2 linked regions of the Sus scrofa genome follow. The protein of the gene in region 1 purifies or fractionates together with the protein of each later gene. This does not show direct contact. Links are inferred from orthologs where the notes say so. Each region holds a gene or a part of one and is shown in the gene's direction. Other genes may lie near its edges. The genes, in order: NAA30 and NAA38.

What was found.
Region 2: the proteins of NAA30 (region 1) and NAA38 purify together in Homo sapiens (co-immunoprecipitation; 3 studies listed by BioGRID and IntAct, with this or other methods). This does not show direct contact. The link is inferred for Sus scrofa from reciprocal best matches to the Homo sapiens genes NAA30 and NAA38.

Annotation. Positions count from the first base shown.
Region 1 is NC_010443.5:186,534,926-186,541,458, forward strand, and holds part of NAA30 (N-alpha-acetyltransferase 30), read left to right. Parts: intron 1-1,919; coding exon 1,920-2,043; intron 2,044-4,551; coding exon 4,552-4,607; intron 4,608-6,533. UniProt on the Homo sapiens protein: Catalytic subunit of the N-terminal acetyltransferase C (NatC) complex. Catalyzes acetylation of the N-terminal methionine residues of peptides beginning with Met-Leu-Ala and Met-Leu-Gly.
Region 2 is NC_010454.4:53,109,345-53,115,206, reverse strand, and holds NAA38 (N-alpha-acetyltransferase 38, NatC auxiliary subunit), read left to right. Parts: upstream 1-2,959; 5' UTR 2,960-3,183; coding exon of another isoform or gene 3,184-3,223; coding exon 3,224-3,638; intron 3,639-3,798; coding exon 3,799-3,911; 3' UTR 3,912-3,958; downstream 3,959-5,862. Other genes in the region: TMEM88 (transmembrane protein 88), read right to left, coding at 4,959-5,231, 5,344-5,577.

The DNA of each region.
Region 1 (6,533 bases):
GACCACACCTGTGGCACATAGAAGTTGCCAGGCTAGAGATCAAATCTGAGCTCCAGCTACAAGCCCATGCCACAAAAACACTGGATCCGAGTCGCATTTGTGGCCTGTGCTGCAGCTTGTGGCAATGCTGGATCCTTAACTCAGGGATCGAACCTGTAACCTCATGGGCACTGTGTTGGGTTATTAACCTGCTGAACCACAGTGGGAACTCCCTGAAAATTTTTTTAATGTACCACTTCATCTCTGATATATGCATACGCACACGTATTTGAAATAAGTTCAAATCAGAAAATACTGTCAGAGTTGTTTAACCAGGCAACTTTTGTGTACTATTTCAGGTCTTAATATAGAAAGAAATAATAGTTTTCAAAAGAATTTTGGAAAAGCCAGATGGGTATGAATAAAAATAGAAATGTGTGTTCTCTTGTGTCACAGTGGGTTTAAGGATCCAGCGTTGTCACTGCAGTGGCTTGGGCTGATGCTGTGGCACAGGTTTCATCCCTGGCTCAGAAACTTTCACATGCTGTACCCATGGCCAAAAAAAAAAGAAAAAGAAAATAACAGTTTTAGAGGTTTGTTGCCCCCAAATAATTTTGGATTCTGTTGAAACAATGAATTAGTGTGGATTGTTGAATTTTATTTCCCTTCAAAAGGATTTTTCTGACCTAGTTTAGGTTTGTGTGAAATGGATTAGAATTATTCTTGCCTAAAGATTTTTCCATAGTTGAAGAAATGCTTTTAAATCAATTTACAGAATGATGAACTTTAAAAAGTAATTGTAACAAATTCAAGATAAAATACGTTAAATATAAATTGGGCTTTGCTTATTGATTTTTTTTTTAAAACGCAGTCCTAGTTTTTGTTGTTGAAATAGTGTCTTCTGAAAAGTTAGTTTTATTAAGAATAATTTGAAGTTTTAATAATTTTTAATGATGGCTCTTTACAACAAACAATTATTTCTCTCTGACACATTATTTAACAATTGGAACTATTGCCCTATTTATATTTACCAGAATGAAGTATTGCTGGAACTTGTCAGTGATAGAACTTTTGAAAAACAAATTTTTAATGGTGATACTGAAAATTGTAATGAAAATTGAGGCTGATTAGCTCTAATTTAATATGTAATTTTTAGCTCTGGAAGGCTGTACATTTTTATTAAGCTAGAAAGCTGTAAAAATTATGTTAAAGCTTTTGCTTTAATATGAAGTTTGATTTTGAGTTCTAGGTATTCTATGAGCTTTATGGCAATGACTCACACTGTCAGGAGAGTCCTAAAAATGAGACCATTGTATATCTAGTCTTTGTAGTCCTTCAGTAACAAAAACTTCTTAGGTAGGATCTTAGGAATACCTTGAAAAAAATCTTTTTTTCTGAAAATCTCTTACATTTTTTTCTTCCTGATTAAAATCTAACTCTACCGTGTAGTATAAATACTTTATCTTATAGCTGGCTTTCCCTAAAACTTTATTATAATTAAGTATAAATTTATAGTACTCTGTTGATAGCTTTAGCACTGTTTTATCATATCTAATGAAAATACTTTTTCTTAAATTATTTTCACATGTTTTCCCTTTCCCAAATCTTAAACATGTAAGTCTTTATTACAGCTAATTATAAGCACATCTTATAAAATACTTGAATGTTTACTATGTGGAAATTTTGCTTTTTTTCCCCCAAGGCTTTGATAATGAACATAACAAATTCATGGCCTAAAGAATGTTGAAAGATTGTAAAACTGGAACATTTGAAGGAGTTCTGGGATTAGATTTCTGAAACTTAAATGACTGCTCTCTTGCTAAAATTCTCATTTCTTCCTGCCTCAAAACCCCTGACCAGCGGTTGGTTGCTGTTTCCCTCCGTAATTGTACAGTACCTGATGGCAATGTATTCTTTGTAACTGTCTGTTTATTTTTAAGGCCATGGTAGGGGAGGAGTGTGTAGGTGCCATCGTTTGCAAGTTGGATATGCACAAAAAGATGTTCCGCAGAGGTTATATAGCCATGTTAGCCGTGGATTCCAAATACAGGAGAAATGGCATTGGTAAGAAAAATATTATGTCACAAAAAGAATGCCTGTTATTTTCATTTTTGTTTTTTTGAAACAAAAGACTTAAATGTGAATAATATGTAGAAATGAACATGAAACTAAGGGAAGATAATTGTTTTCATTTCCAAAATATTTTCAAAATCATCTTACAATGAATTATTTCCTTTATTAATGTTCAATTAGGAGATGCCGTTGTGTTCAGTGGGTTAAGAACCTGAGTAGGAGTTCCCCTCATCCAACTAGAAACCATGAGGTTTCGGGTTCGATCCCTGGCCTCGCTCAGTGGGTTAAGGATCTGGTGTTGCTATGAGCTGTGGTGTAGGTCGCAAACTCGGCTTGGATCTGGAGTTGCTATGGCTCTGGCATAGGCTGGCAGCTATAGCTCTGATTAGACCCCTAGTCTGGGAACTTCCATATGCCGTGGGTGCAGTTCTAAAAAGACGAAAGACAAAAAAAAAGAACCTGTCTAGTGTCCATGAAGATGCGGGTTCAATCCCTGGTGTCGCTCACTGGGTTAAGGATCTGGCATTGCCACAAGCTGCAGCATAGGCTGAAAATGTGGCTCGGATCTGTGGGCTGTGGTATAGGTTGCCGATTCGATCAGAATCCAGTGTGGCTGTGGCATGGGCAGGCAGCTGCAGCTCCGATTCGACCCCTAGCCTGGAAACTTCCATATGCTGCAGGTGCAACCCTAAAAAAAAAAAAAATAGTAAAATAAAATTTTTAAAAACGTTTCATTATTTGAGAGGTATCTTTTTAACAGTTAGTAGATGATCAGTTTTCACCTCCAAACATTTTTTTTTTGTCACATCCAAAATGCTTTGTATTATGCTAAGTTCTGCAGTTTTTAGTAGCATATTTAGGGCACTTGATCATAGCCCTCAAGCAGCTATCTGTACTTGGGTTAAATGGTCCTCAGTGAAGGCAAAGTTATGGAGAAATTGTTACTATTATTTGGTGTACTTGTCATCAAACATTATATTAGCAATTAGGGAGAACCAGGAGAAAGAAGAATTGTTTCTTACTACTATTCCCAAATTCATGTCTTTTCTGGTATGTTCTTATACTCATGGTTTATAATGGTCTTTAGAATCATCTAAGTGGTTTAAAAACAAATGCTTAGGCCCCTCCTCTTGAGAATCTTGTTTGTCCTGTTAGAAGTAGGGCTGAAGTATCGCCAGGTGACTATGATGTAAGCCTGGTTAAGAGCCACTGTCCTCTTATCTAGGACCTACTGGCTCTTTGTTCAAGGTGGAGGATCAGGTAGACAAGCATATGTCTGAGCATGACAGATTCTGAAATGTACTGAAGCTGAGTGAGTATTCATGAAAGAAGATTTGATGCCTGTATCAGTATTTAGTTACTAGCAGTTTTATAACTTGTAGGTTTTGTTTTGTGTGTGTGTGTGTGGTCTTTTTATGGCCGCACCCATGGCATATGGAAGTTTTCAGGCTAGGGGTTGAATTGGAGCTGTAGCCACTGGTCTACACTATAGCTGCAGCAATTCGGGATCCTAGCCGGTCTGTGACTTGCACCACAGCTCAAGGCAATGCCAGATCCTTAATCCACTGAGTGAGGTCAGGGATGGAACCCGAGTCCTCATGGTTACTAATTGGGTTTGTTAACCACTGAACCACGACTCCCTGTAGTTGTTTTTTAAAACTATGAGTGTTAATGTCCTACTTAAGCCTGTTTCATACCGAGATATTCTGAGAAATCATCATAGATAGGTCCACTTAATTAGGTTTAGTCAACTTTTCTTATAGAATTACAGTTTGCCACTAAGATTTTTAATGAATTGGGCCTGTTGTATAAGTCAGGTTTGAGTCTTTGATGTAGTTAAAAGAGCTGATTAGGACTCAGGGCAAATGGTAGCCAGATTGGCCTACTTCAGAGGGCAGAAACCAGTGCCTTAAAAGATTGCATCCTGGCCCTCAGACATGTTTTGTATGGCCCATGTAACGCGTGCTGGTTGTATACATGGTTTTAAAATTAAGAGATTTCTTATAAAATTTGAATTTCTTCTCTTAACATCAGATTTGGATATAGACACACTACTAACATCATTTGGGAGTGCTGGACCTTAGTGTGCCCAGGCTTACTAAAAGGTTTGTAGGAACTAAGCCAGTGTCCTGGGCCCACTCTGGGTCCCAGCAATTCTGATGTGATTTTTGGCAAGCTTGGCTCAAAAGTCATGTACTACATTCCGAGGTCCTGGCATGCTCTGGCCATATCTTGCCTTTTGGAACAAAATAGCATGTACACCTGAGAAAAGGATGAATCAGGAGCTAGATCTTTCAAGAGGAAACTTACATTGCTATGGAAGGTTCTATTGGTCTTTCAGTTCAAAGTTTTCCCCATTTAACTTGAGATAATCTGTGTATTTGCATTCAAAATAGAACTTAGCATTTGATGTTTCTTTGCTTATGAATATTATAATTTAAGCATCTTTGAGAAACTAATTACATTTTTACTTCATTAATACGCAGCTCTATATTCTAGGTACTAACTTGGTTAAGAAAGCTATATATGCCATGGTTGAAGGAGACTGTGATGAGGTAAGTCTAAATGTTTAAGACCTTTTTTCCTGGACAGTATTCTACTAGGCATTTTTATAAATATCCCATAATAAATTGTACTGCATATTTCATTGCAAACTATACTATGCAAATGTAACATGTTGAAAATTACATTCCATTTAAAAACATGAATTTTGACCTAGAACAAATTTTAATATGCAAATGGGAGCTAAAATTTGTTCTGTGTCAAAATATAAAGATAGTTTTAGATATTTGCAGTAAATAACTGAGATTTAGAGTTCTGATTTATTATCAGTTAAATCATTTGAGGTAGCACTTATTACAGACCTTATTGTAATTTACTTGGATATTGACCTTGATTTCTCTCTAGTACTTTTTTAAATTTTTTTAATATGTGGGCTGTCAGCCCATTTGAAGAACATTTCACATTAAAAAAAAAATCAGCATTAAATAGTAAGGCTAGAGGGGGGAAGACAACCACTTTTTAAAGGTAGAGCTATCTATATATTAACATAAAAGCATCTCTCTCCAGCTGGTTTGTAAGGCCTGATGGCAGGTATAATTTCTTTGTATCCTGCAGCACTGTGCTTTGCACATGGTTGATGCTCAGTAAGTAATAGTGGTGGTTGGGAATGTTAAGAATGTTACTGTTATGTAGTGTGGAAAGAAATCAATATAAACTAGGGAAGATCATCTTTAATATAACAGTGGTGACTAAGAAGGAACAGAGTTGTATTGTGCTAGTAATTTTGTGAGCAGTACAACTAACAATTGCCTTTATTACTGGAGGGCAAATGTGCTTTAGAGAGTTCATCACACTTGAAAATAGGCAGTTTTTTCCTCAACAGGTGGATCTCAATAAGTAACTTGTTTTGGTTACTTTTTTTAAAGTAGGTTTTTTTTGGTATGAAATTTATACACAATTGTTAGCCATTATATATTTATATTCTGGGGTACAGAGTCCCTTTTACCATCTTCACACATTTCAACTCTTTCTTTCAACTTATAGCTACTATTAAATTTTTGCTTCCTCCCATTTTCTTTTTTCTTTTTTTTGGTCTTTTTAGGGCTGCACCCGAGGAATATGGAGGTTCCCAGGCTAGGGGTCAAATTGGAGTTGTAGCTGCCAGCTTACACCATAGCCACAACAACACGGGATCTGAGCCGTGTCTTCAACCTACACCATAGCTCATAGCAACGCCAGATCCTTAACCCACTGAGTAAGCCCAGGGATTGAACCTGAGTCCTCATGGATACTAGTCGGGTTTGTTAACTGCTGAGCGGGAACTCCATCCCACTTTCTGAGCACATTTGAGTGCAAATATTTACACATAGTCTTCTATACAAATGACATCACAATTATTATTTTGCATTAACTACTTTTTCCACTTAGCAGTATCTCATGAACACGATTCCTTGTTAGAATAGGGTACTCTCACGCTCCTTACTCACATTTGTAGTTTGTATTCTGACAGATCACACTAAATGGTGGTTGTATGAGAAGGACTATAGACACATTGGACAGCACAAGGAAGTCATCCTGGGATTTAAGGATATTTAATTTTACCCCAAATAAGATAATTCACATATAGTTAAGGATCTCACATTCACAGCTTTTAGTTTCAAAAAGTAAAAGGTGCAGTGAACCTAACTATATCATTGGTAATGAAAATTTAAGTATAAAATTGTGAGTGTACATTAGAATGGCTTAGCAGTTAACGAACCAAACTAGTATCCATGAGGACACTGGTTCAATCCCTGGCCTCACTAAGTAAGGATCCGTCGTTTTCATGAGCTGTGGTGGAGGTCAAAGACGAGGCTCGGATCCCAAGTTCCTGTGGATGTGGCGTAGCCCGGTAGGTACAGCTCCGATTCGACCCCTAGCCTGGGAACCTCCATATGCTGTGAGTGCGGCTCTCAAAAAGACCGAAAAAAAAAAAAAAT
Region 2 (5,862 bases), on another chromosome or scaffold:
GCCACGATGGGAACTCCCAGAGGAAAGTTTTGCTATTAACCCGATTAATCTGGAAGTAGCCTCAATAGCTATTACTCGGCTGACACTTAGCCTTCCCTGTTTTCATCTCTGCCACTGCAGAACTCTGCTAACTCCCTTCCAAAGACAGTAAATGAAACAAACAAACAAACAAACAACACAACAGCACAGTGGACTTCACAACAGGCCTGTGAGTTCCCATTGTGCCATGAACCTGGGCCCTGAGATATTAACTTTATGTTGAAAAGAACCTGGACTTTGGAATTGGGAAGACCTGAGTTTGCATTCTGGTTATTAATTAGTGTGCCTTTTGTGCTATGAAATCTTGCCACGCTTCAGAAGACGTATCTGTACAGTAGTGGCGCTGGGGCCCATCCTATGGGCGGTGATATTAAATGATGTGTATAAGGCGTATAGCGTAGTATCTGGCCTGAATTATCTGATGACCATTCACTTTCTTTCTTCCTTTTGGGTTTCAGCTGCCAAATAGTATTCAAGAGAGAGAGAAGCCAGTTTTGTATGGCCAGAGATAGACATTCCCTATGCCTGTCTTTGGAAGCTTGCAGCCACCCCATTCCCATCATCGCCAGGAAAGAAGGACTTTTCTTTCTCCTACTATCAAAAAGCTCCACCTGAGCTCTATTTGACTATCTTCTTCTACATCTCCCTGACTTAAGACAGTTTTTTTTGTTTGTTTGTTTGTTTTTGTTTTTTTTTTTTTTTGGTATCATTCCTATAAACTACTTCACTTCTGGCATTCTCCCCAACTTTCTCAAAGTAAATTGTAATGAAGCGGAGGAGTAGGACCTTTACGCTTCAGCAGGGCCTGGAAACCACAGGCCAGCTCCCAGAGTGGAACAGAAGTCTAGCCGCGCGTGCACGCGCACACACCCCCCCCCCAACACACACACCCCATTCCCACCTCTTTTCCTAAGGGGCACAGAAACAGCTAAACTCAAAATGTCTTGACTCTACATAAGCATCCATCTCCCGCCCTATAGCTCGGTGAGGTCATCATTGAAGTAGAGGAGCAACGCAGGTGTATGGTGTGTACTGTCCACATCGAGAGAATCAAGCTCTTCCTCCTCATCCCAGATACCGTTGTCTTCCAGGGTATCATCCATGTTCAGGTTCTTCCCTTCATATTTCCATGTGTAGCTGGCGGCATGTGCATTATAGGGGAGATAGCGGTGTAGGATTTCCCACAATGATTCCAGAGCCCCCACCTGGAGAACAGAAAAGCAGCCCACCCCCAGTCTCCTGAGTGGAAAGCACCCATGTGCATACAGCTCGCGCGCGCGCCGCGCGCCGCGCGCACACACACACACAAAGCAAAGCAAAGGCCAGGAGCCCCAAAGATGATAGAGCTGGGATCAGAGTGCTTCCCTTGGCCGATAGTGGCTTAAGGCATTCCACAGTCCCAGAAATAAAGATGGAGCTCCAGCATGCAATGAATGGCCCCCAAATCCTACCAGCCTTTAGGGCAGCCACTTCTAATAAACAGTTGGCCCTAAAGTCACTGCCCCCTCACCTCATCTCCACAATAGAGCAGGCTAATAAGAGAGTCCACCTGCAACTGCTGTTCAAAATTCAACATGAACTTGGGAGGACCAAACTACGACGCCCAAACTACCCTGGACTTCTGAGGGAGTCTCTCACACCTTGTGGCTCAGCCACTCCTCGAATTGCTAACCCCGGGGACCTACATGGTCGTCTTCTTCCCTTGGTCACCCGTAAAAGCGGAAAAAAAATACAGCTGCCACTAGTTACGGAGAGCTGCTGGCCTGCAGATCTGCGAGGAGGTTTGCTGGGACTCCCAGTTCCTTCTCACCTGCCCCCAGGCACCAGTTCTCACCTCCAGCGTGTGTTCCTGCGACGTGAGCGTGTTAATGATGCGGATAGTCCGGGTCTTGGCGGACAGCCGCCCCACCTCGTAACGCGACCCCTGCCACCAAGGCTTCCCGAAATCATTGGCCCAGTCCGAACGCGGCAGCTGAGGTGGCACGTGCAGAAAGCGGCCCCAGGGGGTGCGGTATCTCAGGCAACCGGTCAGCGGATCTATGTGCTTGCGGATCTTTAAAGTAGGGTTTGGCGGAGGGGGGTCTGAGCAGTCACTATCTCGGGCTCCGGTCAGCCCCTCCGCCTCGTCCCCGCTCTACAGTGCCCCTCCCCCCAACCCCAGGTTCCAGCAGAACTCACGTCTCCGGTGTCTGGGTCGAACCAGTGGCTGATGTCCTGGCCCGCAACTTCCACGATGGGTTTCAGCAGCAGGTCTCCTGGGAAGGGGCATTCGTGTCAGTGCTAGACACCCAAGAACCAAGCACCCCCAAACGCACGCCCGACGCCGGCCCAAAAGTGCAGCCCTTACCCTTGTACTCCTGTGCCAACGGCGTCAGGTCGTACACGTTTCCCAGGTAAGACACCCAGAGGTCTTCCAGCTGGTTGTGTTGGGCCACCTCGGCCGGCGTGAAATAGCGACGCTGGAAATACTCAAAGTCTGGCCCGGCCACTAGGCCCCGGCGCAGCATGGCTCTCGCCCTCTCACCGGCTCCTTCAGTTGCGCTCTTGCTTTTCAGCGCGCACTCACTACCGCATCCTCCCTCTCGTCCGGGAACTAAGGAGAGGGCGTTTATCCGCTGACATGGAAACCATTGTCCTTTTCCGGCCACCGTCTGTCAAGATCAGACGCTGTGAGGGCGAGGTGGGGCTCACGGGAAACGTGGTCCGATTCCGACGTTGAAGTAATTGAGTGGTGTCCTCCGGAGTTCCGGGGGGAGGAAAAGACCCTCCGTTTTAATTTTGAGTGGCCTGGGCTATAGGGAGTGCTTGGGACGTACTATCTCGCGAGGCAGAAAAACAAGGGAGTGGGGAGTGCGATTAAGAAAAAAGGTATTCTCGCTTCCTTCCAGGGTTCCTAAAGGATATGTAAGAACCGAGAGAGGTGAAAACTTCTCGCGATATCTGAGGACATCCGGCGACCTAGACCTCAGCGAGCCGTTCGCCGAAGCAGGAGACGCTCGCGAGATCTCTGCAGTTGCCGAGGAGACGAGGAGGGGAGGTGATCTCGCGAAAGAAAACAGGTCGGGAGCGCTCGCGAGATCTCAGACCCCCCGGAGCCGAAAGGTTCTCAGCAAGTTGAAGGGCCTGGAGGAGGCCCGCGGACAAATGGCCGGAGCTGGACCAACTATGCTGCTACGAGAGGAGAATGGCTGTTGCAGCCGGCGTCAAAGCAGCTCCAGCGCCGGGGTTAGCGCGGGCTCGGGTTCTGGGATTGAGGGGCCGTCGGGGAGTAAAGTGGGAGGACGGAGGGAGAACTGCAGCTCCCGGCAGCCTCTGGGCTTCCTGCGAGCGCCCCGCGGGCTGTTGGGAGCTGTGGTTCCTCGGGCGGGCAGCAGCCGGGGCGGTGCGGTCTGAGCACATGTCCCGCCCCGCGCAGGACTCAGACGGGGAGCGCGAAGACTCGCCGTCTGCGCGCGCTAGGCAGCAGCTGGAGGCGCTGCTCAACAAGACTATGCGGATTCGCATGACAGATGGACGGACACTGGTCGGTTGCTTCCTCTGCACCGACCGCGACTGCAATGTTATCCTAGGCTCGGCGCAGGAGTTCCTCAAGCCGTCGGGTCAGTGCCTGGGGAATGCATACCCGCCTGGGAATGCCTCGGAGCATTTCCCCTTCAGGGCCTGGCTGTATCCCTCATTTTCGGGGGCCAGAAGCTGTAGCTCAGAAGGGGCGGGACCGACGCTGGCCTGCCTCCCTGATGCTCTGATCCTTCTTTCCAGATTCCTTCTCTGCCGGGGAACCCCGTGTGCTGGGCCTAGCTATGGTACCTGGACACCACATCGTTTCTATTGAGGTGCAAAGAGAGAGCCTGGCGGGGCCTCCCTATCTCTGAGCCCGACCGCGCATGCCTTTCAAACTTCATTAAACCTGTCACTGACATGGCCTGTGTCTGTGTGTGGTTGGGATGCGGGGGGCAAGGATTGCACACCTCCCCCCTAGAGGAAGAAGAGGTTTATCTGAGGTCGGGGGCACTCTCAGCGCTCCTTCCACGTCTAGTGCTGCCAGAGGTGCCCTTATGGTTCGGGGGTGGGGATGGGGGACAGGCTGAGCCTTAGACCCACAGGCCCCAGGGTGGGCCCCATCTTCCCTCCCACGCTGCTGGTCCGGGAGGGGGTGGTGTCATCCTGCTCCGGAAGGCCCATTGTTTCCCTCCCCGGCCTGGCAACACCGAGTTCCTCTAAGCTGGGGTCAGAGAACAGGCTCAGATCCCCAAGGGGAGCAGGACAGGCGACACAGGCTGGGCCTCCTCCACTCTCTTGATGGGGAGGTGACTTTGGGGTCAGGGACAAGGGCTCTGGGGTCTGGACAGGAAGGACGGGCTAGTGCGATAAGGGAAGGCCGGGAGGCCGAAGGATGCTCCCTTCTGCACGCTAGAGCCACACATCCCTCATCCTACCCCCACCCCCATGTTTCCTGCTCCTGGGCACAGGGCAAGAGTGATAACATTGGCGCTACCCCTGTGTTCACAGGATCCCAGGATCTCGTTCAGTTATCTCTTTATTGATGTGTGATCACTCCTTACCCTGCACCCTCGTGCCCCATCCCCCACCCGCAGATACTAGGAGCAGCACCGGAAAAGGAGGGCACCGGCAAAGTTCAGTTGTCCTCTTCACAGGGCGGCAGGAGGGGTGCAGGGTCCAGCCCAGATGTTCAGAATTCAGATAGTAGTGAGGGGAACGTGGGTTTCCCAGGGTGTATCGAAGTTTCTTTCCACCAGCGCTGGGACCACAGATCCTGCTCTTCGGTTCCCCAAGGGGATGCTAGGACCCGGCCCAAGCAGGCGTGGGGGCAGGGTAGGTCGGGAGATTCCCGGGCTTCAAGTCCTTGGGCCCACTAGGAGGGAGGGCAGTCATCCGGGTTGTTCTTGACTCGAGAGTCCTCAGACCCAGACCTTTCCTGATGTTGGAACGGCCCTCTGAGGCCCGGGTGAGGCCCGGGTTTGCCGCGGCTGCGGGGCGCCCCGGCGCCGGTAGAGGGCTCGGCTGTAAGGCACGAGGCAGTCGGCCAGGCGGAGGCGCAGGCAGAGGCGGCGGTAACTGGCCAGGGCAAGCACGAGCAGCGGCACGAGGAGCAGGAATCCAGTGACCAGCAGGGCCGTGAAGCCCGGGTCCCGCAGGTGCGCGGTGCAAGGGGGTGCCTGGGAGCGCAGAAACTGTGGGAGGAGAAGAGGGGTGAGGCCCAAGCCAGGCAGCCCGGGCCGGGAGTGGTGACCCGCAGACCCCACCGCCCCCATCCCCACACGCCCACACGGGCCGCCCGCTCACCTGGGAGTGGCAGAGGAAGCCAAAGCCTAGCATGGTGACGGCGGGTAGCAGGATGGTCCCCAGCACCAGCGCCAGCAGGAGAAGATTGAAGGCAGCCACCAGCAGGTTCTGGGCGGTGACCAACACAGCGCAGGCCCAGCAGTCCAGGGGGTCCCGGGGCTCTGGGCTGCCGCCACCACCACCACCACCACCACCACCGGGAACCGGTCGCTGCGCCCCGGGGACATCCGCCATGGCCCGCCTGGCTCCCTCCCGCCTGGGCTCCGGCCCTTATAGCCCTCTTTCCTGCCCCTCCCCCGGCCCGGCCTCTCCCCACCCCCCTTATCCTGGAATGCGGCTCCAGGATTAGGCGCCCCCCCAAACGGAGGAACGACCAGAGCTCTGGACATTCCACAGGCGCCTCCGGGGAGGGGCTCACCACCCTCGCCGGGGTCCGAGCGGTCCCTCCCCATCCATCACGGCTCGCCGCCCTCCTCCCGGTACTCCCCCTGCTATCACCCACCAGCACGCTATCAAAAC